Linked DNA regions of Ovis aries. The protein of the gene in region 2 purifies or fractionates together with the protein of the main gene of each other region. This does not show direct contact. Links are inferred from orthologs where the notes say so. Each region holds a gene or a part of one and is shown on either strand. Other genes may lie near its edges.

Region 1 (5,757 bases), on a different chromosome or scaffold from region 2:
GGCCCCTGCACTGGAAGTGCAGTCTTAACCACTGACTGCCAGAGAAGGCCCTGGAAGGCTCCTTAAGGTCCCAGGTGAAGGCGAATATGCTGCAGACACTAACACGGCTAGCCTTCTCCTTCAAAACCCACTTGTGAGCAATAAAGCGTAAGTGACTTGAGTGAAAGGCACCCCCCTGCCCACTCAGTCACCTTCCTGTCCTATCCGGCATGAGCCGTGAGGGGACACAAGACTGCCCCACCCTCTGAAGAGCGTCCGTGCCCTCTGCTCACGGAGCTCAGTGAGCGGCCCGGCCCGCCTGTCCTGTCTTCCAGGGTGACGGCCGTCCAGACACTCCAGAGGGGACCACACACGCGCCAGGCTTGGTCAGCCCTGGGAGGGGATGAGCAGGAGGCGGGGAGGGCGGTGCCTCCGCCCAGGTGGGCACTCACATCAGCTCGTAGTTCCTGCGGATGGCTTCTGGGATGTTGGGCTTTGTTACCCGCACAGCCTGGAGAGAGAGACAGCACCTGATTGGGGCGTGGGGTGTGGAGCGACCAGCTCCCACGGGCCCTTGGTCTTCCTGCACAGACAGGACACCCTCTGAAGAGGGGCTGTGCCTTCCTGGGGGTGGGGGCGGGGCGGGGGTGTCCCACCAGGGTGGTGCTCACTTGGATGACGAGCCCGGGGGCCATGGAGGTCAGGTCTTGCTGCAGAGCCAGTTTGAGATTTTCATCAATCTGATCTGGAATCAAGACAGACAGAACACAGAGCTGAGATGTTTTCTAGGAGGGGTGGAGGGAAGCATGGGGTAGAGAGCAAGGCAAGACACCAGCTCAGGAATGCACCCAACGGGCCAAAGCTCTTCCCGAGGCACAGCGCTCCTCAGAGCTCGAACATCCAAAGACTCCCTGGAAGACTCTCACGGCGGACACCCACTGGGCCCGCTACGTGGCCAGAAGGGAGTGTCCCTTCCCTGGGGCCTCAAGAAAACATCAACCTCGCCCAGAAGGGAACTGAGCTTTAAAAGAACAAACAACAACTCCAGCACATTTCTTGAGTCAGGAAGCAGCCCTTCCCTACAGACAGCAGCAGAGAAGGTGGCCACCCATCTTTCACAAAGAAGGAAGGTGGAACGGCCACGTCAGGTATTTTGAAAGGAGTCAAACACACTAAATCTATTAATAAATTTCTAAAACAAAAACAGACTCTGACATCAAGAGAGGCCCCAAGGAAGACTAATTCCATCAGGTACTCCATCAATCAAGGGGAAAAGGACAATGTACAGTTCTGGAAAGGAGTCTGAGTTTTTTTTTAAACATTAAAACATTTTTTTTTTTTTTTGGCTGAGCCACTCAGCTTGTGGGATCTTAGTTCCCTGACCAGGGATTGAACCCACGCCCCCTGCCCTAAAAGCGCAGTCTTAACCACTGGACTGCCAGGGAAGTCCTGAGCCTGAGTCTTTTGATGTGTTGTTTGCCTTGGTTCTGATTCTTCTGTCTGTGAGTCATTTTATGGGTAAGTGTCAGAAGATCTGCAACTGATCGCCGCTCTAGCTGTGACCCCAGAACAGGCTGTCAGCGCTGGCCTGGGCCTTCCCTTCCCTGCCCCCACCCACAAGATCAATAAGCTTCTTGAAGGGCCCTGAGAAGAGGACACCCTGAAACCAGCCTGGGACACCTACATGGAACCACCTCCTTTATTGTCAGCGGCCAGCTGCTTTACGTGGCCATTCTTGGTCCAGGAGCCTTTGAGAAACAGCAAGTCTAACTCCCTGCCTGTTATAAATGCTCAAACTGAGGCCCACAGAGGTTTGGGGATATGCTTAAGCTAATCAAGAGTCAAGATAAAGAACTTGTTTAATTATTACGCTTTGATCGTTAGGGTTTAGAACAGTACTTTCTTCAATAGTCATATCACTAAGCAAGGGGTATTAATGTTTCTACATATGCATATGCTCCCACCAGCCTCTCAGCACTGAGGCAGACCATAAGGGCAGCACCTCACACCTGACATGGGTGTAACAATTTGATGGCTAGAGATGAACATGACATTCCATATTTTCTATTTTAAATAAGAGACTGGCCAAACTTTAAGGGAAACAGCTCATATCCTCCATAAGCTAATAACATGGTTGTTTCTCAGATTAAATTCTATCTGAGTCAAGGAAGATACCCATGGCCCTGGGCTAGTAACTTTCCAGGAAAATCTAGAGGAAATATTTTACAAGATACCTTACTAACAAATTTACATCAGGACCAAGTTGTTTATGTGTGATGGTTATGCTGACAACGCTGATTAAGTTAAGAACTGATTAAGTGAAGTGAAGAACTGACTCATTGGAAAAGACCCTGATGCTGGGAAAGATTGAAGGTGGGAGGAGAAGGGGACGACAGAGGATGAGATGGTTGGATGGTATCACCGACTCGATGGTCATGACTGTGAGTAAACTCCGGGAGTTGGTGATGGACGGGGAAGCCCTGGTGTGCTGCAGTCCACAGGGTCACAAAGAGCTGGACACAACTGAGTGACTGAACTGAACTAAGTAAACACAAAGTACTGGATAACACTTTCATCAAACGGGAAACATGGATGCCTCGGTGTAAGCGGTGATAAAAACTGCATCAAGCTGAAAGTTAGGCCTATGAGTACTGGGAGGAGGGGGCCAGAGAAAACCCTTCCATTATCAGGACCCAGGATTAGAGACTCGAGTTTCTCCTTTGCAGATGCAAATGGATGCTAAGCAAAACAGTGCTAGCTGGCAAGAAGGAACTTTAAAAAGGAAAATATTCCAACGCAAACATAAATCCCAAGCTCCTCCGTACACAAAGCTTTACTTTACTGCACTGCCAAGTTCATCTGCAAGACAAGACAGTGAGTTTTCCAATGCAGAACAATTTCACATCTTAATTCTCTCTGCATAGAAATTAGAGATCTTTCGCTGTTGCAAACGCTTTGTAATGTTCATTTACTGGCACTAGTTCTAAAACGATGGCTAGAGAGAAAACTAAGGATATTTTATGAAATTCTATCGGGTTGAGGTCAAAAAAATAGCAAAGTTACTGAATTTTTCTCAATAGCACACCAAATCCAAACATGGGAAGAGACTTCAAAGTCCATAAAGTGAATTTAGACCCATTTTATTCTGCAGAAAAGTTAAAATGGCTTCTGATGACTTTCCAAATTTGTAACAGAGGGCCAAAGGCTGTTTGCCTAGTTAAGATCACTGGTGTCGCCAACGACTCCACCTCTGTCTATGGGATATTCTCACTCCAGGCCCTTTAAATTAAGAATCCTGGGGAAAACCACTGTCTGGTCCTGGCATTAAGAACAGTGGTACCACTGGTTGCAAAGTTCATTTGCTTTTAGCCCTGGCTTCTAGAACACTCCTAGCAGTGAATTTAACAGAACACTTTATCCCAAATGAGCTATAACAATTACTGAAATGCCTCTTTTCATTGTTGCTGAAGTCAGGCTATGTTTTCTTTGATCAGGAAAAAAGGAAAGAAAGTGTCAACTTAAGACCAAAGTGGGTCCTTTCTGTTTTAAGTGTTTTCCTATTCTTCTCTATGGGTACAGGGTAAAAAACCATCACTAACAACAACCGAAAGCCACACAGGTTCTAGGGACTCTTAAGTAGTTACAGTCCTTGTCCCACTTCTAGAATTAAATGTGACCCGTTGGGACTTCCCTGGAGGCCCAGCGGTTGAGACTGCATGCTTCCAGTGTGGGGGGTGTGCATTCGATCCCTGGTTGGGGAACTAAGATCCCACATGCCTTGTGGTGCGGCCAAAATAAAAACACACTGAAGCAAACAACAAAATGTAACCCCGTGGTTCTCATCACCCTGTCCTGGCGCCCTTCATCCAGGGTGAGGTGGATGCAGCCAGAAGCCAGAGGAGGGGGGTCTGGACTTCACCTCTGCTCCCAGCCAGCCCTGGGACTTTCTCCCTCGGGACCTTGGTATCCTTATCTTGAAAGGAGGATGCTGGGCTGGGTAATCTCTAAGGTTCTTCTGGAACTGACCCCTCTTCATTATAGAAGGAAGTTCAGGGACATGGGAACATATTTCCATCCCAGGTCTGACGCAGGGCAGGAGCGAGTCCTATCGCTCACTATGACTCCCGTGTCCAACACTCAGCCACTCTCACCATCTTCTTCCATCGGCACCTGTGTTTCCTGGCAGTGCCCCGTGTGACTGCCTGCTTCCCGGGCACTGGATCTTCAACACTCCGGTCCCTTGACACCCACCCTGCCCTGTGGGCAGCTGAATCAGGCAGCAGGTGATCATCCGAAGAGATTTTCTTACCGAAGAGCTCAATGTAGACCTCCTGAAGCGTGTGGACACTGCAGAACTGGTTCAGCTCGTGGTGGATCTTGTTGAAGATGAGTGCCTTGTCGTAGTCGGCTGTGTAGTTCTTCACTATGTCATACACTGCGGGGAAGGAGACGTTCAGAGTGAGGAGGGCAGGACCTGCCACGCTCAGACACACGGGCTGTCCCTTCCCGAGATGCTATGACAGACATGGGGGTTGGGTGGGGGGAGACTCGGGGATGATGCCAGGGAGAGTGGGCTTCGGGGGAGGGGGTGAGGTGTGCTAGGGGAGGTACCTGCGTGTGGGACCAGGAAGTTCACCACCTCGATTCTGTCGAAGTAGATCATCACACCACCGCTGTTGGAGGAAGCGCAGACAGCGTGGTCAGTGCTGAGCTTGGGAACATTGGGCCTCTCCCGGGGTGGTGGTGCTATGTATGTGTGCGCGTGCGTGGGACTTGGCAGGAAAGGAGGAGGGTTCATGGGGGTCACAGGTGTGTGGATCTCAAGGCAGGAGACCTTCTGAGTTTCTATCATAATCTCCTGAGAAATCATACTTCCTAAAAACATCTCCACGAGGACAAAAGTGAAACTTTTGAGATACAAGAAGTGTAGTTTGTATGTTTTAACTCTGCAATGACTTTTGAATAAAGCTACCAATCGCAGGGGAAAGACTAAGCAAGGTCACGGGGTTCTCAGAACTTTAAAACGTGGAATGTTTGGGTCAGTGTTTCTCACGGTTTTCACCATCACTTTAGTTCAGCCCTCTCCCTACTTTGCCCTCAATATTCATTAGGAAACACTTTGAAACATACAGAAAAGAACAGTACAACTAACACTCATATACCAACACCTGACTTTAACAATCATGAACATTTTATTACCTATTGATTTATCTACTTTTTCTTTTTTTTTTGCTGAACATTTCAAAGCAAGCTGTAGTCAGGATACTTTACCCACCAACACCTGGCAAGCACCAATCACCTAAGAATGATGACAGTCCCCTACAGAGTCACAATACCATTCCTAAAGCTAGAGAAATTAGCGATAATTCCTCTTCATCTAACGAGCCCTTCTCTAATTTTTCCCACAAGTTCCCATCATGGACTGAATTGTGTGCGCCCCAAAATCCACATGCTGAAACTGGAGCCCCCAAAGTGAGTGCATTTGGAGACAGGGCCTTTACAAAGGTGATTAAGGTTGAATGAGGTTGTAACGATAGGGCCCTAAACTGACCAGACTGGTAAAGCAAAGAAGACAAAGGCAGCAGAGATCTCTCTTTCTCCACACATGCACAGCCAAAAGGCCATGTGAGGACACAGGAAAACAGCCACCTGCAGGCCAGGAACCAACTTGCTGGCACCCTGATCTTGAACTTTGAGCTTCTGCAACCGTGAGAAAAATAAATGTCTATCGTTTCAGCCACCCAGGCGATGGTATTCCACTATGGCAGTCCAAGATGA
Region 2 (6,226 bases):
AAAAAAAACAGAACGGAACAGGAAAAAAAAACAAAAACAAAAAAAAGGAGAAAATAATGAAACTAATGAGTAAGATTAGCAAAGTTGAAAAGCCAGAAACACCTGAACAATTCAAAACAATGATGGAAAAGGATCAGGAGACACTTTAATGGAAGGGACATCTGAACAATGTAAAATTAGCCTAGAAATAAATAACAAAATAAAACCTAATCTGGAATGAAAGTTTGGAATGGAAGTTCTAGAAAGACATAAAGAAAAAAACAATCAAGACAAATCTGGGTATTTGTTAAGAGTAACACACTGAGAACCTCCCCTCAAACCTGTTCTCAATATCCATGCCAGAGGGCCACCAGGAGAGCTCTCCTCGGAGCTGGAGTCTTTAATCCATCTTCCCCACTGCTGCCACAGGTGCCCCCTGAAAAAATCCTCTCATCATGACAGCGCCTTCTCCCCTCTACTCCCACTGAAACCCTTCTGCCCATGAAATAACGTTCACACTCCTTAACAGAGCAGGCAAGGTTTACATAACCTGACCTTCACCCCCTACCCCATCCTCTCCCTGATCAGCCCATCCTCTCCCTGATCAGTTTCTCAACCATTAACGAGAGGAAAATCACTAGGACATTAATTAGAAAGAAGACATATTCCTAGCTATTTTCATCTAAACTGTGCCCTATGAAAATAAGTTTTAGAGAGCAATATGCAAAATAATAGCTAGCAGGGTTTTACAAACTGGCAGAAAGATTTTTTTGTCTTGCTTGTTTTTTAAAAACTGAATGAGTGTCCTTGGGCAGAGCAAAAAAAAACAAAAACAAAAAACAGGATCCATTTTAACAAAGACTCCACCATGTATTCACTTAATTATGCTATCTGGCAGGTCTCAGAGGAAGGCTTTGGAGATTGCAACTCCTATTCCGCTACTAGAGCAGAAACTTAAGTAATGGGTGATGAGGAAAACTGATAATGCACACATGGAAGGTCTGAAGTGAAGTGAAGCCGCTCAGTCGTGTCCGACTCTTCGCGACCCCATGGACTGCAGCCCACCAGGCTCCTCCGTCCATGGGATTTTCCAGGCAAGAGTACTGGAGTGGGGTGCCACTGTCTTCTCCGAGGAACCAAGGAAAACCAAGATAAAAGTGTGAAAACCACAGAGGAAAAGATGGAAGAACAGCAGCAAGACCAACTGAGAAAAGAAAAAAAAATCATCCACGGAGAGGAAGAAATCATAAACTCACTGGAGGCAAGATCTCTGTTGAAAAAGCTGGGAAGAAAAGGAAATTTTCTTAAAAATCATAATTTTCACAGAAAATCAACAGGCTTTAATGTTTTATGTTTATGTAATGTTTTATGAAGAGGTGCTAACCTTGGAACTGGAATGAGTTTTGTACAAAGAGACTGGGGGGGTAATCATTAAACAATACTGCTGCTGCTGCTGCTAAGTTGCTTCAGTTGTGTCCGACTCTGTGCAACCCCACAGACGGCCTCCCACCAGGCTCCCCGGTCCCCACTCCCCCAATATTGGAGTGGGTTGCCATTTCCTTCTCCAATGCATGAAAGTGAAAAGTGAAAGTGAAGTCGCTCAGTTGTGCCGGACTCTTAGCGACCCCATGGACTGCAGCCCACCAGGCTCCTCTGTCCATGGGATTTTCCAGGCAAGAGTACTGGAGTGGGTTGCCATTGCCTTCTCCGATTAAGCAATACTAGTAGCAGCAGCAGCAGCAGCAGTTGTTAAACACTATAGCAGTTCCATCTCAAAGGCTTACTTGTATCTTATACTTAAATATATATATATATCAAAGACTATATTATAATCTCAACATTTGACAAAAGCACTCTTCACATTACTTTATCTAATTAAAATGCAAAAAACAGATTTTTAAAAATCTAGGTTTAACATACATTAAACAAGAGACATGGGTTGAGTTCTTTCTCTTCTCCCTTCTTCCCTACTCTAAGGTTCAGCTTTACACAGCAGTGGAAGAAGGGAACCTCACCCTTCCCTTCCTTCTACTAATCTCTTCATCAGAAGGACCAAGAGACTTAATCTACACCCACAGAGTTCATAAATCCCACTGCTTCCTGATGAAGCACAGTGGGATTAATTACAACAAATGAGCTGTGTATCATTCCGTATACTTGGAATATTAACCCCAGTCATTTACAGCCGACTCTCAACCGAAATGGGAACTTACAGGAGGAGACAAGACTCAAGACACCACAGCAAACCCTAGGGACAGACTTCAGTCCCAGAACAACTTTTCCTGATCACTGTGGGATTTCTATGTGGCATTCAAAGGCCAAGTTGGAAACCAAGTTCCTTAGCCAAAATACTGTTGATCTGCCTGCCTGAAATTATCTGTTCTAATAAGTGAAACTAGCATTTATGCCTCCTAAACGCTGCTTATCTTACACTGGCAGACAAACTGGAGACCTTGTTTTAACATGGATCACTAGCAGGAGAAACCCTGAGTTAAAATGAAGAGACATCTCCCGACTCCAAATGTTTTGGCTGCCTTCAGACATCAAAGGAAACTTTCATGAATCACCAGGTAAAAATCAGCAGGAAAGGAAGCACAGTCTTGTATTTGTTGTAGGTCCACTCAAAGAGGACAATAATAAAGAAAGAAAGAAAAAAAAACGCTGTGGGAGACGGTCCCTCTCCAAACAACGTCCAAACACACTCAGATGCCCAAAATTCTCCTATGCTCAACAACTGAAATTCTGTCTCTTTTCTCTTTACACGTGAAACGCGATAACATCTCCCTGCCTGACCGCGTCCGAAAAGCCTTCCCAACTCCGGGGTAACTGACTGCCCTTTGAGGTCTTCCAGTTACTTCCTGGTGGCCCCCCAGCAACCCCAACTCGGCCCCCCATATTTTACTTCTCCCCGGATTCCCAACCCTCCCCCACCTCCTCCCCCCGCCCGTCCCTGGCCGGCCGCCGCGTTCCCTTGCGCCCCGCCCCCTGCGCCTCCCCAACCGCGTCCCAAAGTCCCTTCCTCAGGCCCTCAAAGACCACCCGCCCCCGGGGACCCGCTGCCCCTCACGACCCCACCGCCACACCCCAACCCTCACCGGGTCCCACGGAGGCCGTACGCGGGCGGGCCCCCCCCACCGCCGCCTCACACTCCGGGGTCCGGGGGGGAGGGGACCCCGGCCCCAGCCACGCCCCCCACAGATAATGGGTGACATGGCGGCCCCCACCCCTCGCCCCGCTGCGCTCCTCCTCGGCGGGCCCGGCATCCTCGCTCACCCACACGAACAGGCTGTCCGAGAGCAGGTACTGGGCCACGTCGCGGGCCCGGGGTCCCCCGGCGCTCGGCCGGACGAGCGCGGCCGGGTCTGGCTGCACCGGGGCCGTTACCGGCTCCGCCTCTGTGGGCCCGGGCCCGGGCCCGGCCTCGGGCTGACTGAGAGCGCGGTAGGCGCTGACGATGGTGCCGACCAAGGCCAGGCCGCTGAGGCCCGTGTAGGTGCGGAGGCTGGGCCAGGGGAAGCGCTCGAGGAAGAGCAGCGGCATGGCGGCAGCGGCGGCTTCCAGCCCCCAGGTCTCCCCGCGCTGCGGCCGGGTCCCGGCGGCCTCGCGAACGGCGCCCACGAGCTCTGGCGTCGCCGCCGCCGCCACCGCGCCGGGCCGGGCCGGGCCGCTCCTGGCCGCTCCGCCCCGCGCCGCTCCCGCTGCTGCCCCTGCCGGCGCGGAAGAGCCTCGGCTGGCTCGGGGCTGGCCGCCGCCCCCAGCAGGGTGCGGGCGGGACGGGCGCGGGGGCGCGGCCTCGGTCCCCCGCCCCCAGCGGTCGCGCTGCCGCCTAGTTGGCGGAGGCCCCGGCCGCAGGCCCTGCGGCCCAGCACCCAGCATTATCTTCCGCCGACACTCTAGCTCGGCCTGGCCCGCGGACGCTTAGGGCACCCGCCCCAGGCCGGGCCCAAGCGTCACTCAGGCCCGACGGCGCTGACGGGCGGTCGAGCGCTGGCCGCGTGGGCCCACCCGCGGGACGCGGGGACCCGGGCCACCGGGCGTCCGGCCACTTGTCCTTAGTTTCCTTAACCTCCCCGTAAGCAAGTTACCCCAGAGCCTCCCTGTGGGCCTGGGAGCTTCCCAAGTGGCTGAAAGAGGAGACAGTGCTCAGGGAATAATAGAAGCCCTGGCCCCATGGAAAGACAATAAATCAACACTCTCAAATTCCTCGCAAATAAAGTTTCTGCTGTTTACTAGTAACACCCGGCGAAGTCTAAAGTGAACCTGATTTCAGTTCAGTTCAGTCGCTCAGTCGTGTCCGACTCTTTGCGACCCCTTGAACCGCAGCACGGCAGGCCTCCCTGTCCATCACCAACTCCCGGAGTCCACCCAAACCCAAGTCCATTGTGTCGGTGATGCCATCTAACCATCTCATCCTCTGTCGTCCTCTTCTCCTCCTGCCCTCAATCTTTCCCAGCATCAGGGCCTTCTCAAATGAGTCAGCTCTTCATATCAGGTGGCCAAAGTATTGGAGTTTCAGCTTCAACATCAGGAAATAAAAATGTGTTCCCTCATACCCCAGGTAGGAATGTAACATAGTGAGGATATTTTGGAAAGTGATGTCAGCTCTTCAAAAAGTTTAAACCTAAGAGTGACCATTTGACCTAGCAATTCCATTCCTAGGTGGTATACCCAAGAGAAATGAAAACACACTGCCACACAAAATGTCCACACAAATGTCAATAACAACGTTATTCTTAACAGTCAGAGTTAGAAACAACCCTAATGTCACTCAAGGGACGAATAGATAAATAAGGGATTACCCCCTAAAATGGAATAGTAGTCAGCCATGAAAATGAAGTAGGAAAACATGCTACAAGGACAACGCTTGAAAATGTGCTAAGTATAAGCACAGACACAAATGGGCACATAGTGCAAGTCCATGTATATGAAATGTCCAGCATAGGCAGAAGCATAAAGTAGGTTAATGACTGATGAGCAATAGGGAGATGAGGAAACAGGTATAAAAGCTAAACATGGATTTCTTTTTGAGGTGATGAAAATGTTCTAAAATTTTAGTGACTGTAGCAGAACTCTGAATATACTAAAAATCTTTATTTGTATAGTTATATGGTGAATTATGTAAATTATAGCCCAATAAGGCTGTAACAACAAAAAAGACAGAAAAAAAAAAAAAAAAAAGAACTACAGAACAAAAGTGCTACCTTGGGGGGTAGCACTTATTCCTTGTTGTATCTCTAAGGCCTTGACAAGTGCCTGATGTAGAGTAGGTGTTCAGCAAATATTTGTCGAGTCTTACAAACTTTCAAAGGCAAAAGACTAAATTATGTTCAAAGTCTCATGCCCAGTATTCTAATACTAAAAATTTATTAGTTAGAAAACAAAAGATGGTTCAGCTCAAGGTTATTACTATCCAATTTGCAATATTTAGAAACATCCTATTAAAGGCCTTGTGATGAACACAACAGTTTGGCTTTTACCAGGGAGGGAGGATGAGCGCCTACACACACACACACTTTTTCATATGAGATCTGTATGATTACACTTTCGGTGCCCTTTGATTCTCTATCTGCAGCCATTTGATTAAAATGCTAAACTTACAATTGTATTGGTAAATTAAAATTTCACTTTGAAAAAGGGATGTAATTTTCCACAGAAGTAAATGTTCTACTTTATCTGACTCTCCCATAAATTTTAAACCACACTATCCTACAATCCACATTCAATCCAAGTCACAATACAGTTACAAAATATCATACACCAAACTTGTCAAATCTTAATGGGCTATTAAGACATGCAGATGACACCACCCTTATGGCAGAAAGTGAAGAGGAGCTAAAAGCCTCTTGATGAAGTGAAAGAGGAGAGTGAAAAAGTTGGCTTAAAGCTCAACATTAAGAAAACGAAGATCATGGCATCTAGTCCCATCACTTCATGGGAAATAGATGGGGAAACAGTGTCAGACTTTATTTTGGGGGGCTCCAAAATCACTGCAGATGGTGACTGCAGCCATGAAATTAAAAGACGCTTACTCCTTGGAAGGAAAGTTATGACCAACCTAGATAGCATATTGAAAAGCAGAGAAATTACTTTGCCAATGAAGGTCCGTCCAGTCAAGGCTATGGTTTTTCCAGTAGTCATGTATGGATGTGAGAGTTGGACTGTGAAGAAAGCTGAGCGCCAGAGAATTGATGCTTTTGAACTGTGGTGTTAGAGAAGACTCTTGAAGAGTCCCTTGGACTGCAAGGAG

The links. Proteins that work in one complex are often made in the same cells at the same time.
Region 1: the proteins of AMFR (region 2) and ERLIN2 purify together in Homo sapiens (affinity purification with western blotting; 4 studies listed by BioGRID and IntAct, with this or other methods). This does not show direct contact. The link is inferred for Ovis aries from reciprocal best matches to the Homo sapiens genes AMFR and ERLIN2.

What each region holds. Positions count from the first base shown.
Region 1 is NC_056079.1:32,112,310-32,118,066, reverse strand, and holds part of ERLIN2 (erlin-2), read right to left. Parts: intron 4,653-5,757; coding exon 4,591-4,652; intron 4,415-4,590; coding exon 4,289-4,414; intron 725-4,288; coding exon 651-724; intron 491-650; coding exon 432-490; intron 1-431. UniProt on the Homo sapiens protein: Component of the ERLIN1/ERLIN2 complex which mediates the endoplasmic reticulum-associated degradation (ERAD) of inositol 1,4,5-trisphosphate receptors (IP3Rs) such as ITPR1.
Region 2 is NC_056067.1:23,704,637-23,710,862, reverse strand, and holds the start of AMFR (E3 ubiquitin-protein ligase AMFR), read right to left. Parts: upstream 3,712-6,226; 5' UTR 3,520-3,711; coding exon 3,253-3,519; intron 1-3,252. UniProt on the Homo sapiens protein: E3 ubiquitin-protein ligase that mediates the polyubiquitination of lysine and cysteine residues on target proteins, such as CD3D, CYP3A4, CFTR, INSIG1, SOAT2/ACAT2 and APOB for proteasomal degradation.